Daphnia pulex: one gene and its partner. The protein of the gene in region 1 purifies or fractionates together with the protein of each later gene. This does not show direct contact. Links are inferred from orthologs where the notes say so. Each region holds a gene or a part of one and is shown on either strand. Other genes may lie near its edges.

Region 1 (8,412 bases):
GGACGAGAGAGGCAACGGACAGACACAAAAACGCACACACACAAAAAGTGGCCACAGACGGACAAAAAGGGAACACCGATAGTGGCGAAATTAATGAAAAATTTCAATTAAGACAAACACAAAAAAACTAATTGTACCCGGCACCTTTTTTTGCTTGTGGTTTTTTTTTCTTTTAAATTAAAAATAAAAATCGGAGAGAAAAAGAATTAGCGGAAAAAAGGGTATCACAAAGTGCACAGCAAAAATAATTAATATAATAGAAAAAAAGGTGTGCAGAATATAAGAGATAGACACGTCCTAAAAAAGACTTGGTTTTTTTTAATGGTGGAGGGAATGAAACTTTACCGAGGGACCAGTACATCTTCCGCGATCACGAATTCCCACATGTGGGCTAAAACTGCAGCGTCGGCCCTGGTTTGGCAGGGGGTGATTTCATAACATTTTTTTGTTTGATCAAATTATGATTAAAATATGAAATTTTCATTCCCCCCAATTCCCAGAACCACCCCAATATTTGATGCAAGAAATAGACAACCAGTGAATTGAATTTGGATTACTTACCAAGAGTGTTCCGCATTAAATCCAACCTAAAAAACAAACAAATTCAATTTGTAATTAAAACGAAAAATGATTTTCCAAAATGACGAGAAACTCACGCGTCCATTTTTCCCTATGACCAGCGTGAATGACTTGTCAAACCAACGGTCGTAACCCTTGCCGTGGAGCAACGTCGCACCGAATTTGTCCAGTTGGGTGTGATCATCCTGATGCATTAAAATTAAAAAAATTAGACAAAAATATAGAGAAAGTAAAAGAAAAGATTGGCAAACCGGATCAAAGTTGAAATCGTCGTCGTCAAACGACACCATAAAGGCAGCGCCTTCGACGACGGACAAGGAAACTTTGTTCAATCCTTTGGAGAAAAATTCCTGTCGGCACTTGGCCCATGGGATGCGGTCACCGGCAGTCAAGGCCGCCAATTTCTCCTCGCCCGGCTGGATAGCAGACACGTCATCGAGGACCTTCTGCAGCGAAATTTCCAGCTCGCAAGGACGGAGCAAACGGCCCTTGTAGTACAGGGGGACTTTAAAATATTTGCCATGGCAATAGACGGCGATGTGAGTCGAATCGTCCAAGTGGATGATGCGATCCGTTTCGATCCCGGGAGCTCGGGTCGTGTTGAAGACGCGCTCGTACTGAAATGAGCACAGTGGCACCGTTCCCTGGACCATGATGGGTTCCAGCTCTGAGCGTTCGATAGCTCGACGGAAGAGCAAAGCTTCGTAAATGATGTTGGCTGCACGGGCCGCCGGATTTCTGGTCGGATGCTTGAAAAGAGTGTCTATTCCGTAAAAATTAGAGTTGACCATGATGGGAGAACGGCCACGCAAGTAAACGTATTCCTCCCACCAATCGGAAACGTAATTGGTTGACCACCTAAAATCATTCGCATTTGGTTTGATTAAAATATTTTTCAAATTAAGGAACAAACAAATGTTTTACATTCGCTTCAAGTAGAGATAGCGCTGCAGCTTTTGTCCAATACCACGAACAAATTCCAGTGACAACTTTTCCATGCGGGAGTACTGGGCGTCATCCAGCAGCGGCCGGACACTTCTCAAATACTAAATAAGATACAAATAGTCAAGCACTCATCGATATTTGTCAAATTGACAAGTTGATACAAACCTTTTCACGAGTGGAAGACAATGACGGAACGGGAAGAGTGGGTAACATGCCTTGAAACGAGTAGAGCTGCGGTTGGAAGAGGCGGAAGAATGGTTGCATGGCCAAAAACCAGGCTCGAGTAGGTAAACTGACTTGTCTACCGGCACCTCTTTCCTCGTACATCCATCCATGATACTTGAGCAACAAACCCATCAATTGTCTCAGCGAAAAAATGACTCCAGCCCAGCCGGCAAGACCTAGAATGGCTGAACACAGCACCCGATATTCGACAGAATTCCTATTTTTCAATAGAGAAATTAGTACTATTTTAATTAAAAAGTAAATCCATTGGTTAAATACTTGGGGAAGTGGACAATTAGCTTATCAGTTAGTCCACATGTCAAATCATATCCTGACTTTTCTGCACCAATAAAAACAGCCTCAGTCATAACCAGGGAGCGAAGAGAACCTGGGAAAAAGTTGGACTTGAGGTTTGTCTGTAAGGTTTAAAATTGAAAGATTAGTCGGGCACAATTGCTAGGCATTCAGAACATTTCTGAACCTGAAAACGAAGTCCCCTCTTCCTCCATGAGCGAACAGCACTTCTGGCAATAAGCCTAATGACCTGAAGTAGAAAAACCATTTTGACCGTCACAAAACAAAGCATTGCAATTGCATAGATTTTACCTCAAAGTCAAAGTTGACGTCCAAACCTTCATGGGTGATGGCAAACGAGAAGGCAACAGCTTGATGTCCCTCCGCCATCTTTCAGTGAATCTGTTGAAACCAGCAAATGAAACAAGCAATGATTACCAAGTCTGCGATTCAAATCATCCAATGAACTGCATAATCCAAGCACTAGACAAAACGCATAATACCGTGTAACGCGACCAAAGGGTATGAATAAAACCATAAAACGAACGGGAGAAAGTAGAAGAGAAACGTATGTTTACAACTTACTATCGACGTGCTGAAGGCTGTTGAACTTGGCTAATAATAAAACTGAAACAAACCAACTCGTTTCTACTACGGAGATTCAACGAAAGAAGCGATTTACACATGATTAAGCCAAGGCTGGTTTAAATTACCTGATTGAAACGTATGTAGCTCGTTGAGAGTTTAAAAATTACGGCAAATGTGGGGCAGCAGGTAAAACAACTTTGGGTTGTTGTAGCTATCTGGTGCAGGCAGACGATTCGCCGTCTGTGAGGCGAATGAATATTGGGACTCTCTTAAGGCAATGTAACGGGGCTTATGGGGGCTCGTCTTGAACGCAGAAAGCAGGTTGGTTGCCGAAATTAGGTGAAGTCACAGCACTCGGCGTTCGTGTGTTGTATAATAAAAGGTTTTTTTTCTTTCCCGGGTTGAACGTCCGGGAGAATTTCCTCTTCTCGTGGTGAATCAAGGTTGCCAAATCATCAATGGCTATTCAAACATAACACTCAGCTTTTTTTATTCCTTTTGTTAAATAATCAATCCATTCAATTGTTATTTTATGTCCTCAAAATATTTACTATCTGTAATTTTACACGTGACACAATTATTGACAGACTGATAACGGTACGGGTTTTTTTTTATTTACCATCCCAGCATTCTTTAGGAAAATCCCTGAGTTGTGGCGAATGTTTTTCCGGAAAAGAGAAATTGTTTCTATTTTGCATTCTTTTATTTGATCTTTTCAAGGTCTCACATCATATTTTCTTTCATTTTGTGCATAATTGCCTGTTGTTTTTGGCAAAAGCCTCAGGGAAGCTTAAATATAATCCCGTCGTTTCTGGCTTTGAGAATGAAACAAAATATAATCAAAGTTACTTTTGCGCGTGTCCTTCAGGACTTGTGATGACACCAGAAAGGAAATGCGACGTTTAACTAGTTATTTGCAGCCAACTCATTGTCGAGGTCATGGAGTACGACTAGCTGGAAATTTCGCCGATCCTTTAGTAGTTTAATCGAGCGCTAGAGGACTCCCATCCATGCGTGACTGTCGTGATTGTGTAGACTAAAGTTTGTTATCTTTTTTAACTATATATGTTTACTACGGTTTACTAAATGGCTAATCAAACTTAAAATCATTAAAAAATAAATGTTGCGGTGAACAGTGTTATTCCTAACTTTATCTTAATTAATGAACCTAGTTTACAAACGCGCTTCTCTCGCCTCGGGTGGCGTGATGCACCTGAATTTTTCACGCAAAAATCAAATGGATTAGACAAAGTGGGGGGGTGAGACTGTGTGTATTGGGGAATGACCAAGGTAATAAGGAGCTCAGAATTAAGAACAGTAATCTCAAATGTCAAACGACGATATAGCAGCGGATCTTACACACACACACGCAAATGAAATATTGTCACAAAATGAAAAGGAGGAGAGTATTTACGATTACTTTTTAAAAATCTCATTATTATCTGGTTTACAATTTTCCCACAGACACTACAAGTGTTAAGTTATTTTGAAATAAAAACTTGACTTGTTGTAAATCTAAAATATGACAAATGTTTGGAGAATATGGAAATGGACTAGTGAAAATAAATATAATTAATTGGAAATAAGTTACGGTTGGACTAGTTGACTCCTCTTATCTTACAAATGAGTTGACATCAGCATTGAAACACCTGGATAATAAGCAAATAGAAATCTTGTTTTGTTTTTTTTCTTTTTTCGAATTTGTTATTTGTAAAAGGGTTGGAGAATTGCCTATGTAATCGAACAGGAATTTCGCAATCGTTTTTCTTTATCGAACCAATCAAGGGATGACACCTATCAATTTTTTTTTAAACGACATGGAATCGACTGCTGGGACTAATAGAATGAGATCATCATCCAGACTAAGGGCAAATGTTTGACAAATGCCTTGAACATGTAAAAGATATTTTGACAAGCTTCTATGAAAATGAATCAAAGGAGTTGGTTTGTATATAATAATGTCCCGTTGTGCACCTGAAGAAAAAAAAACTTACTATTTTACGTTACAATGGGAACAACCCGCAAATGAAAGCCTCTCTGTGATGTTAATTATTTGCTGGACCTGAATTGGAGTGGAGAATGGAATGGTGAGTGTGTGTGTTTTTCAAAAAGGTTATTGGGGAGGAATGTAAAAAACAATTATTGCTCAATGAGCAGCAGTTGAAATGCATGAGGGCCCATACAGATAATGTGGGTTCTTCTCTAGGCGTAAGATTCCTTGGCAGTTTCCAGTTGGACAAACTCGTCGTCGAATCCTTTTCTGACCACAGTCTCGTCAGCGATTGGTGCTGGCGGCGGCAACGGTTGGTCTAGTGATGATGACGACGTTTCGGTTGTTGATGGCTCCGGTGCTGGTGGCGGAGGCGGTTCCATCTCTTCGCCGAATTCTTGTTCCATTTCGTTTTCCTTGTCGTCGGACGTCTTTTCATCTGTCGGGTTGAAACATTTGAATTCGTTTTCAACCATGGGGGTCGATGCCGTCACGATGATCTGAGTGCCAGACAGTCCGTCAGTTATCTAAAATTAAAAAAAAAAATTATTGATTTAGAATGAAATGGACTTTCAACGTTCTACCAAATGTTACCTGGCCGTTGTTGTTTCCCTCCTCTTCAGTGGGCGTGGCTAAAAAGTAAATGACAAAGAATTGATTAGGGGGAAAATTCGAATCGAATTAAAAGATTTACCTGGCTCGACGTTGATCATTTCTGAAGCAAGATCATCTTCGTCTTCATCCATTTCCTTAATGGTGGCGTTCTGGTCGAACATGTGCTCTACTTGATCATTCAAAAAAAAAATTCAATTAAGATCAGATCAACTACATGAAAATGAGGGACTATTTGTTGTACCATGATCATCAGGGAATTCCGTCTCGGGAGTAGGTTGCGTGATTATGACCCGTTCAGGAGGCAGGAGGAAAGTAGGAACAACTGGAGGGCTGCCCGGCGGAGGCACTGATTCCTCTTCAGGTGTTGCAGGCGACACCTGTGAGTCCAATCCATTACGTTAATAAATATTCTGCCATACTTGTTATCATCGAAATAATCAAATGTTTTACTTTTGGCGTCAATTCTTCGCCGTTGGGACCGCATTCTTCGACAACCAAAGAAGGGAAGACGCCTCGAGTACCGTCCGTTAGGAGCTGACCCTCCCACCATCCATCGTCGACGTCCTGATCGTGTAGAGCACCGGATCGACGGAAAATGGCGATGACTTCACCTTCGTAAAAGGTCAACTCCTCATCAGACGTGGCGTCGTAGTCGTACATGGCCCGGCAGTAGCCGATGATTCGGTTTGTTTGGCCATCAGCGGCAGGAACTGGAGATGATTCCACGACTGGGGCAGCAATGGGTGGAGGAGGTGGAGGTAAAGGAGCGCTTTCGGTCGGCCCAGGGAACTCATCTTCTTCTTCGGCGCTCATTCCTTGCTGCTGGTACGTGTAGTCGACTGAAGAAAAGGAAATTTGGTTCTCCAACGGGTAACCTCCTTCCGCTTCTGCACTAACGATTTCTTCTTCCTCTTCCTCGTGCCCTTCTTCCGGCTCGACTTCCTCCGCAATAGCTGGATGTTGATGGACGTTCTGGTTGGCGTCCTCGTCACCTCCACACGGCACCTGATCGTCGGCGTGCAGGTCCAGGTAATTTTCAGGCACGTAGCCTTCCTCTCCCTTGTAATTCCGGGCTTTGACCCATCCGTCGCCTTCGGAAAAGGCCAGCAACACTTCCAGCTCTTCGTTTTCCATCATGGAAAGCTCGTCCGCATTTTGTGCCTATTTCCCAAACGGAGGAATAAATTGAAAGATCAAAAAGGAACTATAAAAATGATATCAACGTACCGTGTAGGGATAGAACGCGATGCATTTGATGACGCTGGCATCTCCACTGGCATGCACCGAATCCGTGACGCTGCTGGCAGTTTCAATTTGTACAGACGTGGTGGTCGTGTTGGCGGCGGAAGTGTTGAGCTGAGCGGCGTCGTCTCCCCAGGCGTCGGTTGTATCCCAGGCGGCCGTCGGATCTTGCCACGTTGCCTGCATTTCAGCAATTTGCTGCTGTACCACTTGCTCGACTATTTTGAAAATCAAATGCAACTCATTAGTCATTCCAGACTGATCTGACTGGCATATGCATAATAGATTTTTTACCGAAAGCTTCGTCAGCAGCTTCTTCCTCTTCTTCATCCTGCTGAGTTGTTTCAGCACCAGCGCGAGAGCCGCTGTCGGAGAATTCAGATTCCTCGTGAGCCGATTCCTTCATTTCAATATTGAAAATAAACTTTTGATTTGAATGATTCATGAAGGTGTTTCTAAGGCAAAACATACTCGGAAAGAAAGCTGGCTAGAAGATCTCATCAATCCAAGAGTCACCAGACCCTCTGCGTCTTGAAGGAATTCATCTACTTTGACTGCACATGAATCAAATGTTAGTCAGAAATTTGGGAGGTGTGAATTTAAACAATTTACCTCCACCAGCATGAAGGCACTCCAATCGAGCCTCAGCTTTTATTTTGGCAGTCTAAGAAATGTAAACATGTCGAGATGGCTGCACAAAAGCAATATTACTACAAGTCCAATACCTCTGAGCGCCTCAATTGGTTTTTTATTTCATCGATTTTGGCGTCAATATCAGGTCCGTTGGGTTCATTCGGATCACTCTGCAGAACAAAGAAAACAATAGTAACTATACATTCAAACAAAAAGTTTGGGAAAAATAGAAACCTTCAAGCCACTCTCTTTCATGCCCTGTAGAGTTTGCAGTGTCCTCGTCGATTCTCTGATCTTTTTGGATTCTTGGGCGACACGAGATGCATATTGTTTTCCACTCTGAATCAATCCGGCACCAGCTCCGTGAGCTTGATCCACCTGTTTTTAATCAACGAAAAATTTCGAACGAAAAGTTGGTGATTATTCGACTCGTGTGTTTTGTTGACACAGACGCCATCTTTGATTTGAAAAAGCAATTATCGATTTTATTCGTTAGATGGCGAGGCAAACTGACCGTCGTGATGACGTCATTGTCACAAGGCTCAAAGTCGTAAGTGATATGCTGATTGAGAATTGGGAAGGCGTCGACGAAACAGGCCAGGTCGTAGTCGCGATTGATCTATAAAATAAATGGACAGAAAGGAAATAAGATTTCGCTAATTAGATTGGGTTGGTAAAGTAATAACAACGTACGGTTTGGGCTTGCTCTTTAATTTTGCCGAAAGAGAATTGAGAGGCGGAGCAAGTATAAAGTTCCGTCCGACTCATAATGGAAAAGTATTCGGCCACTTTTTCGTACATTCCGCCGTCTAACGTCTGCAAATTGGATTAATCAGACGAAAAATGTCAGTACGCCGTTGATCAAAAGATTGTTTATTAAAGATGGTACCTTGACGACGTTTTGCAAATCAACGTGAAAGTATCGATTCTGATGGGCGTTGGCTGAAGCAAGTTGAAGCAGGTAGGCGTTTCTGGCTTGAGTCGATTTCTCCTCACACAAATCCCTTCGACTCCCCAACTGGCCAATGCAAATATAAAATTGAATTGATCAGGATTTTTAAAAATGAACCAAACATTTGACACCTACTTTGGCCGATGTCTTCTGTAAAGAGGAAACCGACTGGAAGATGCTACCCTTTTTCTTCTTTAGCCTAAAAATAAAAACAATTTGAATTAAAATAATGGATTGAATTGCAGTTCAAATGGTCAGCATACTTTTCCTCAGCTTCACGGGCCTTGTCACGAGCGTCGTGACTGACATGTTCGTCGTCGACGTAAACTTTTTTCAATTTGTCCAATTC
Region 2 (9,027 bases), on another chromosome or scaffold:
CGTCATGGACGTTATCTTCCCTGATGACAAAAAGGCCAACCAAACTATGGCAGAATCAGCTGAAAAGTGGCTAAAGGTTTTCACTTTCGATTTTAAAGGTATCATGGCCCCGAATAAAACAAACAGGGGTGTCAATGAATGCAAAGAGAAATGGGTTTGGGGGACTAGCCCGCAAAAGTATCAAATCTATTGTCCCGACCCGCAGTCAATGAAAGATTTCGTTCGTTCCGGCAAGTTTAAACCTTTATTTCAGCGCCCACCCAGTTCTTCTAGTTCTGCAACTTCGTCTTTGTTTTCCCTTATTTTTGCAACATTTATTTTGGTGGGAATGTGAATAATGTCCATGCATTGTTTTAAAAATTATCCTACAAAATGTAATAGTCCTTCACCCATAGTTTTCTTTCAATTCAAAAAACGCAATACAATCCATCATGCCTACTTATATTTCAATTGTTGACCGTTGGTTTTCGTAGAATCAGTTTGTGAAATTTAGAAAGTAATAAACATTTATAGTGGCCAACTAATGTCCACTTATAGTAAGTTGATGACCCAATTCTTAGTTGCGACATTATTATTAAAAATATTATTGTTCATCAGGTTGTATACAGTGAGCTGTAGTTCTAATATAGAACAACAGTTATGAAATATGAGCGCTACACTGCCGACCGCATCTTATGTCAATTTAATTGCGCAGCAGTCTCGAGATGACGAATTAGTATCCATTACTAACAAGGTCCCTTGCCAGGAAGCTGCGTGTAACCAAATTGTTCGGCAATTTCTAGATGAAATCCAACCAGTCGGTGCATCCGATTTTTCAAAATTCCAGATAATCCTGCGGTAACTTGGGTAAGAGAAAAAAAAAAAAAACAACGGATGACAGGTTTGTCAACGGTTCCAATGGTTTGACTTTGTTGACATCCGCTCAAATTCATCTAACATAAATCGAAACTGATCGGTTAATTCAGTCATTCACGCGTCCGAATTTACAGCAGCAATGTCAGCCGTAAATCATCGTTCGTTTTGTTTCTTTTTGTTAACATCCCTTCTCGTTAGCGTTTGCTTAGCTGATATCGGCAAAGACATTTCCGTAAACGCTACTGACGAGTTGGTAGATGACGATGAGGATCCCGCCCGTAAAGCTTTTCGTCTAAAAGACACGTTTATGGACCTCTGTCAAAATCTGCCTGGCTGTACTTGCGACGGGAAACACGAGCGAGCCAATTGCAGTTGCATCATTAACGATCAATTCAAACTCAAAAAGGTATTTATCTTTTTTTTAAAAAAGATTTTTATTTAAAAAAAAAATATTTAAAAACATATTCATTTATTTTTCTGTAGATCAATTTGAATCAAGTGAAAATACCGACGACCATTGTGAAATTGGACATCGTTGATTGTCCGTTTGTCGATATCGCCCAAACAAAATTGGCAGATTTACCCATCAAGTCGTTGAATGTTTTTCGCGTCAAACATTTGCACATAGGACCTGGTTCACTAAAGCAAGTGGATTGTCTAAATTTGGAAAATATCGGCAAACTCGACTATGACAAAGACGCTCTGTCTGAATTAGTAGCCGATACAGCGACATTCGTCAACGTCACATTCCCCGTCGAAGCAGAACTTGTTCCCCTTTCTATTAAATCCGAACTGAAAATCGTCCAGTGTAACTTGACAGATTTTACGATAATAGTAGACTCGCCCCAAACAGACCGGTCCGTCTCCATAAATCATAGCTATTTGAACCGTCTCAGTTTGAAGATTAATGCTGGCTCGTTCACAATGGATAGCAACCAATTTGTCCAGCTCTCGTCAAAATCAGCCGGACTCATGGATATCATGTATTCCCATTCGATCGATTTGAAAAACAATCAATTTGGAATGAACAGCAACATTTCAATTCTGCCTGACGTGATGTCTTCGAATCAGTCCTTAGTATTTCATGCCACTAACTTTACTGCTGTAAGTCAAGAATGGCTGGGACATTTCGGACTGAAATTCAGCGGAGCAACGCAGAGTGGCGTGACCGGAAAGTCTCTGGGTTCGAGCCGAGGAGGTTGTGACGTACAGAATGCGCCTGACCCTACAAGTAACCGAATCATTACGTGTTCAAACGTTAAGAGCCTTGGCGAATTTCTGAAGACGGAGACAAAAGATGTGACAGCACAGCCCAGAGTTGACCATCAACCGGAAAAGCAAAAACAGATTCAAACACACGATGACGTCAAAGCATTGGGCGTGGCAGTGACACACCATTATCCAGCCCTGGCGCTAGTCATTGCAGGTGGGGTTTTGTTACATTCATTTGTATGAAATCCGAAATGTTATGTAATTTTTCCTAGCTTATTTAGAAATACACCAAAATACGGCCAAATTCTATGAACTTCAAATTCAATAATTTTTTTTTTATTGCTTAATTAAGAATTTTGGGTGAACTTCATATGTGTGACAATAGGACATTAGTGTAATTCATTTCAGAACAAGAAAGAATATTGGTAGATGAGGCAAAGCAAAAACAAGAAGGATAAAACAGAAACACATTTCATTCTAATAAGTAGGCACATCATTCACACACAACTACCCAAATGAATTATTTTTTTATTTTTTTTTTAACTCTAACTTGCAAATAGCAATATGTGCAACGGCTGTCACAGTTGGGTTGCGGTTATTTAAAAGATTCTTTGTGCGGCTTAAACATGTAAATGGATAGCTTGTACCACTGGAAGATTTAGGCAGAAGCAATATTGCAAATAATTAAATTCCAGTGAAAGATAAAAGACTAATAAGTCTCTTTAAAATAATACTACGTCAAACTCGAGGACTGCTTTTGATATAGGGAACGATTTTCACAAAAATTTTATTAATCGTCCCAATCGTCATCTTCATCTGGGTCCTGGCCGCTTTCATCACTGTCGGAATGGATGACACGACATCTTTCCTCCAAGGCCCTGGCCAAGGCACCGGCCATACCTTCCATGACATCGTCGCTGACGGCAACAACAGAAGCCTTTTTCTCCACGGGTTTCAGTTCCTTTCCTGCTCTTATTTGACCCAACAAATCGTTGCGTGAATCGAAGGCTGGCACTTTAGCGCCACTCTTCATCGATTGATCGGCATCACTCGGCACCGATTTGAGTTTGTGTCCCTCTTTGATGGCGTCCATCAGGGCGCCACGGACATCGGGTTGAGCTGGAGTGGGTGGGAGTGACGGAGACGAAACAACAAATGAAGGAACAGGAGGAGCAGGAGGTCCACCAAATGAAGGAGGCGGTGGAGGTGGTGGAGGAGGAGGAGGTGCACCGACAGGAGGTGGTGGGGGTGCAACGTTGTTAATTGGTGCCATTTTCGGTGGTGGGGCACGTTGAGGAGGTGCTGGAGGAGCAACAGATGGAGGGGAGGCAATCACTCTTGAAGGTGGCGGCGGTGGAGCTGAAACGGGTGGTGCCGGAGGAGCGATCCTTGCCGTCTGAGGTGTAGACGGAGGATTCCTTGCTGGCACCGGAGGTGCTGAAAACAAACTGCCGCCGGATGACTGTAAACTCGAAATCTCACGAATAGCCGCTTCTTTTCCTCCATGTTTGTCGATAAAATCGTAGATGAATTCACGTGTTGCTTTGTCTTTCAAGTGATTCTCCGATATGCCGGCCTTTCATTACAAAAGAAAAAAAAGTTAAACCATAACAGAAGTTAAGTTAAGACCATAGAAAAGTTAAACACAGAAATGCTGAGCGAAATAGTCGTCTTACTCTGGCGAAGAACTTCAACAGATTTGGATCGACGTTGTCAAGTGCAAATCCTTGATTGGGGTCCCATCCAACGTGACTGATGTGTTTGAAATCTGATGGCCCTCCAATATCCGCTTTGGTAATTTTCTTGTTCTTGTCTTTCTTCCCTTTTTTTGTCACGGTTATACTGTTTGTGATTGTCGCTGATCGTACTGCTGTAGATTTTGGTACCGATCCGTTCGTGGCGACTGGCGTGGGTTTTCCTGGTTGCGGTTGCTGCACTTGCTGCTGTGATAAACGACGGCGTTCTAAAACACAACAACTGAGCTATTAATCAACCATTATTTGTCAACATCAAAATGTACACACCTCGTTTCTCCGATTTCATCCTCAAATATTCTTTGATAGCCATCAGAAAGTATTCTGCCTCGCCTTCATTAGCAAAATTAAACCCGATGCGACATTCCTGCATTCGAAAAATATTAACCAAATTGATATTGTAATTTACTAATATGATCAAATGAATGTCAGGACTCACATCTCCCTCAAAAGTGTGAAAGTAAGGTCTTGGTGCACAGTAGTCAAAAGAACTGTACAATTCTTGCTCCCAGATGGCAGATTGCCTGTCGAGGCAAAATACTCTAAGGAAATAGGATCTCTTGATATTATCTTTGATGAAGCAGACTACACCACAATGCCGTTTGTTCCATGTGGATCTATTGGGTGGATCAGCAAAACAGACCTGAACCACAGCTGACGCCATACTCTGAAAAAGAAAAATTACAAAACATTAAATGTTGACTTTTAGAAGAATCTAGTACTGGGGGGACTTACTTTGCAGCGCAAGCCAATGAGTTTAAATAATTGATCATTTTCTTCTAGTGAAAGAATAGATGATGGTTTGTTTTCAGGTTGGGGACGCTTGGCAGCAGTCATGGCAATGTTATTACTGGTTCTAGATTTTTCAAAATGTGTCAATTAAACTTTCGATCGAAAACTAGTAAACACATCGACAAATTTATATTAAATTGTAACTGTCACACAACTGTAAATAAGGATAAGTAGTTCTTATTGTTTGAACGAATTTTTCACGATTATCATTCAATTGAATTATTATTTATACGCTTATTTCATAAACACTTACGGCAGTCACTCCCTTACCAGTCTCATGAAGATCTACACACGGTGTTTCACAATTTTAAGATACGAGAGTTTTATCTTGAGGAAATAGTCCAATACGGTCCAATGGTTTGGTCCACATCAGACAGGACGAAACAATTCCATCTAGCGGTAAATTCATAAACGCTATGAGAATCACGGGTTGGGATCAGTTGTTTACTTCATGTTCGGAATGTTGATCGCCTTTCATTTCTAAGAACTTCATCTTTTTGTGCTTTTATCTCTTCATTCGATTTGCTCCATATATCATTATTTTTTATCTTGTTGATGAATATATATATTTTTTTCAGTGATTCTTTAAACCAAAATGCATGTGAATGGAAAAGAATTAATAACCACCTCCTTCAAACCTGCGACGTGAGACATTAGATTGTGTATTAGAATAAATACGATGACTATTATACAAAAATTCTTTTTGAAATAGGATTGAAGGAAGAATAAATTACAGAGTTCTTCATCCGGGAAAGTCGAAAGGAAATTTCAAGGAATTCTGGTTTAAATTGACAGGCAATCTTCTTTTTTACTTCGGTTTGAACAATTTTGGAGGAATTAAAGGAAATGTAGGTTTGAAGTACAGAAAATAAGAATTTTGGTCTCATTTTTAAGCTGTTAAAATTTCATTTGCAGGAGCCTATTGGTGTGATAGTTTTAGAAAATTGCTCCGTAGCATTTGATGAAGATGGATCTGGGGTATTTGCTTTTGTTGTTACTTTCTCTGGTGATCAAGACAGACATGTGTTCTCTTGCTTCAGTGTGAATCAAGCACAGAATTGGGTCATAGCCTTGAGGCAAGCCAGGTAAAATTTTTCATAATAATTCATACATGGACAGTGCTGACATAAAATTAATTTTTATTTAGTTATGAACATTTGAGAATCCAAGTCAAAATTTTAGAGAGTAAACTGGAAAGTCTTGGTGGAAAGGTAAGTTTAAAAGGAAAAATTTTAAGGGAAAATTATTGTTAAAATGATAAAATCTTTGGTATGTTCAGAGCATTTTTAAATGGAGTACCACAGCAGCATCATCAAGTAGTACTACACCAAGTAGTGTATTTAAACAGCCTTCCAATTCTGCAGTTCCCGCTTTACCTACGCCCCCAGCCAGAAAACGTATCGGGCCTAAAGCAAAAACATTTGTGAGTCACATGTCTGACGAAAATCCCCTGCCGATAAATTCTTTCATAAGTGATAACAAACAGCCTGATCAAGACTTGATCAAATGGTGATTAGTGATGAAAAAAACAACCGTCCGACTTAAAAAAAACGTGCCAATCATAAAGAGATTTAGATAGATTTGTGTAATTAATATTAACATTCCTCTATTAAGCAAATTAAGTTATGTTCGGCTGATTTTCGAAATCTAGTCATTAAATAATGGCTCAAAGAAAAACTGCCTCTCGTTCGTCGCATTGGTTTGCACTTGTTACAATTGGCTATTCCGCTGTATCACATTGACATCAACAGGCAAACTAATGTCGTTTTTAGAAATCTTCTTTCTTTTGAAGCTGCGTGGCCGTGAACGTTGATGGTTATTTTCTTTTGGTGTGCAGTTACTGATTCGGTTGCAAAAGCCGGTCAAGAATGTTTGAATCAATTGGTTATCAACATTGTACAGAATAAATCCTTTTCGTTTATCCCATCCAATGTGACTGATTAAGCGAAAATCTTTTGGGGGACTGACGCTGAAGGTGTCGTCCTTCGTGTTTGCTGTGGAATTAAAAAATCAGATTTGAATGTCATCTCGGGATCATGTGAAATAGTGTTTGATGTTGTCCTTAATACCTTTATTTTTTAGTAGATAAGCTCTGACAGTTCTAAGAAAGATTGAAGCTTCAGCTTCGTCGGCAAAGTTGAGACCAATTTGAGTATTCTAATTTTTAATAATTCAAATATTTAAAAAAATAGTAAATAGGTGAAAGAGTTTGGCGAATTGACTCACGTTGCTGGAGCTCACGGTGTGAAAATATGGAGCTGGTGCGTGATAGACTACGTTTTCGTGAAGCTTTTGCTGCCAAATAACTTGACGTCGGACCAGACAAAATATTTTTAGCCAGAAATTACAGTTGCTGTCTTCTATCAAACACAAAATCCCGCAGTCTTCCTTCGTCCACTGCGTGTATTCAGGTGGCTCGGGCAAAAAGAGCTGGACAACAGTGGTGGCAGCGCTCTACAAAAGAAACATTTACAATCACCAATAGTAATAAATTTTTAAAAGCGGTAATTCTTACTTTGCATTGTGCTCCAATAATCTCATTCAGTTGCGTGTTTTCTTCGTTGGACAACAGTCGGGAAGGACAATTCCGACGTGACTTGAATGTTTTAGAAGCTCCCATATTTTATTGCATAAAGATTTGATCGAGTTTTCCGCCGGCTTCTCAATGCGTGAATAAATTGGATACAGGAGCCTGTTATTATCGCCGGCGTTCTAGTCGGTTGCTAGCGGCTGTCTAAGGCCACATGAACTGGCTGGCTACTTTTCTAACGTGTGGGTTGCATTATTGTCACTATCACAAGAGATAAGTATAGTCTTGCGTGCCCGACAAATTTCGACTACCTGGATTATTTTGTTGACCTGAACGTTGTTTTGACGATGATGTGTTTGATCACAATGTGATAATGACGCGTTTAAACTTGAATTTCTTCGCTAATCATTATTTCTTTTTTTTTGTTATTTATTATTTGTCTCGTTAGGATACGTGCATCTTGAAAATGTCAGGTGATTTACAGATCAGCGGCTAGAATATGTAACAAAAGTTTTGGCTTCGTTTTAACGCTTTATTTAATTCCCAGAATTAAGGAAAACAATTGCGAAATTCTTCGTCGGTCTTTCTTTGAGACTTTTAAATTCTTTTCCCTATTTCCCCCCAGTTTTCCTATTCAGCTCCTGATATTAGCCTAGTTCTTTTTGATAAAAATGATTGCAATAGAAGTCTGACATAATGTAGGTATCGTCATCGGATTCCTTTCTACACTTGACGTGTTTTATTGTTTAACGGGAACGTAACAATGTCGCCATCAAATATTTATGCTTCTGTTCCTGTGCTGCTCGTTTGGTCGTCATGTCATATCAAGAGTAATATTCTACTAGGCCAATAAATATAAAAATTAATATTCTCAAGTGCATATATTAGGTGCAATTGCATTCTCATATTGTAAATCAATAAACAATCAAATAACTGTATAATAGCTATTGTTGCTGGAAATGGATTTTGGGTCCGTTTATTTTTCAAATCCGGTCGAAACGGTTTCTTGCATGTCTTCAACAAATAGATGTATGCATAGATATCTGTTTGATACGCCGTGCAGACTATGAAAGATTGCCCACTTCCTTTAGACTTTCTTTATGATTGGCTTCGGGGCACGATAGTTTGGCGGAGGCCTTATTTTGGCAAGCAGTGCAGAAGGCAAGTTCATCCAAGGGTATTTCCCGTTTGCTAGAATTTTATGTCTCTTACTAGCTGTTGGCACAACAATGCTGTTATGCAAGCAACGCCTTAACGGTAAATTCAGCACACTAGCCAACCGGCGTTTGTGTAGATATATAAGAATGCTAAAGTAGCTTGTCTTCGCTCATAGCTCGCTCTCCGCTGTTCGTTGATGACGTTGCTACCTGCACCTGTGTTGTCCTCGCTTTGGACATTCACATTTTATTTTTAACTCAAAAATAAGATCAGAATCTGCATCATGTTTTTGGCCATATTTTGTGTAGCCTTGGCCGCGATTTTCTTCTTTTACCTGAAGTTTGAATACTCTTCATATGTGAGGACCATCGACTTGATTCCAGGACCTCCGAAAGTTCCTTTTTTTGGAAACGCACTTTCGATTCCTCTCGATCCTTTCGGTCAAATAATTACAATTTTTAAATGTTTCATTTCACTTTATAAATTATTCGTCGGTTACTAGCCGAATACGGACATAAATTTGAACTTTATTATGCTAACGCGAATTTTTTTAACAGGTGCTCTGCAAACTATTTCGGTGGAGTGGCCAAAAAAGTACGGACATTTTAGACGCGGCTGGTTCGGATTGAACGGTTACATTGACATCTCTTGCCCAATAGCAGCAGAGGTAAGGACATTTCACTCTGATATAATGAACCCAAATTGTGGCAAAATATATCTTGAATG

What was found.
Region 2: the proteins of protein nervous wreck-like (region 1) and neural Wiskott-Aldrich syndrome protein-like purify together in Drosophila melanogaster (affinity purification with western blotting, with the first as the bait; 3 studies listed by BioGRID). This does not show direct contact. The link is inferred for Daphnia pulex from reciprocal best matches to the Drosophila melanogaster genes nwk and WASp.

Annotation. Positions count from the first base shown.
Region 1 is NC_060027.1:9,342-17,753, reverse strand, and holds the end of protein nervous wreck-like, read right to left. Parts: coding exon 8,327-8,412; intron 8,263-8,326; coding exon 8,199-8,262; intron 8,130-8,198; coding exon 8,001-8,129; intron 7,928-8,000; coding exon 7,805-7,927; intron 7,731-7,804; coding exon 7,626-7,730; intron 7,490-7,625; coding exon 7,346-7,489; intron 7,282-7,345; coding exon 7,204-7,281; intron 7,143-7,203; coding exon 7,091-7,142; intron 7,033-7,090; coding exon 6,950-7,032; intron 6,879-6,949; coding exon 6,773-6,878; intron 6,697-6,772; coding exon 6,464-6,696; intron 6,398-6,463; coding exon 5,687-6,397; intron 5,614-5,686; coding exon 5,478-5,613; intron 5,406-5,477; coding exon 5,316-5,405; intron 5,254-5,315; coding exon 5,216-5,253; intron 5,149-5,215; coding exon 4,834-5,148; 3' UTR 3,886-4,833; downstream 1-3,885. Other genes in the region: carnitine O-palmitoyltransferase 1, liver isoform-like, read right to left, coding at 562-587, 657-764, 831-1,437, 1,504-1,625, 1,690-1,966, 2,029-2,165, 2,231-2,293, 2,356-2,433. UniProt on the Drosophila melanogaster protein: Adapter protein that provides a link between vesicular membrane traffic and the actin assembly machinery. Acts together with Cdc42 to stimulate actin nucleation mediated by WASp and the ARP2/3 complex.
Region 2 is NC_060019.1:7,008,980-7,018,006, forward strand, and holds neural Wiskott-Aldrich syndrome protein-like, read right to left. Parts: upstream 5,027-9,027; 5' UTR 4,884-5,026; exon of another isoform or gene 4,867-4,883; intron 4,824-4,866; exon of another isoform or gene 4,678-4,823; 5' UTR 4,659-4,677; coding exon 4,557-4,658; intron 4,489-4,556; coding exon 4,261-4,488; intron 4,189-4,260; coding exon 4,092-4,188; intron 4,031-4,091; coding exon 3,744-4,030; intron 3,644-3,743; coding exon 2,858-3,643; 3' UTR 2,440-2,857; downstream 1-2,439. Other genes in the region: uncharacterized protein LOC124190376, read left to right, coding at 995-1,261, 1,339-2,310; pleckstrin homology domain-containing family J member 1-like, read left to right, coding at 5,209-5,258, 5,326-5,461, 5,529-5,698, 5,761-5,824, 5,893-6,126; wiskott-Aldrich syndrome protein-like, read right to left, coding at 6,324-6,607, 6,683-6,770, 6,840-7,067, 7,129-7,233.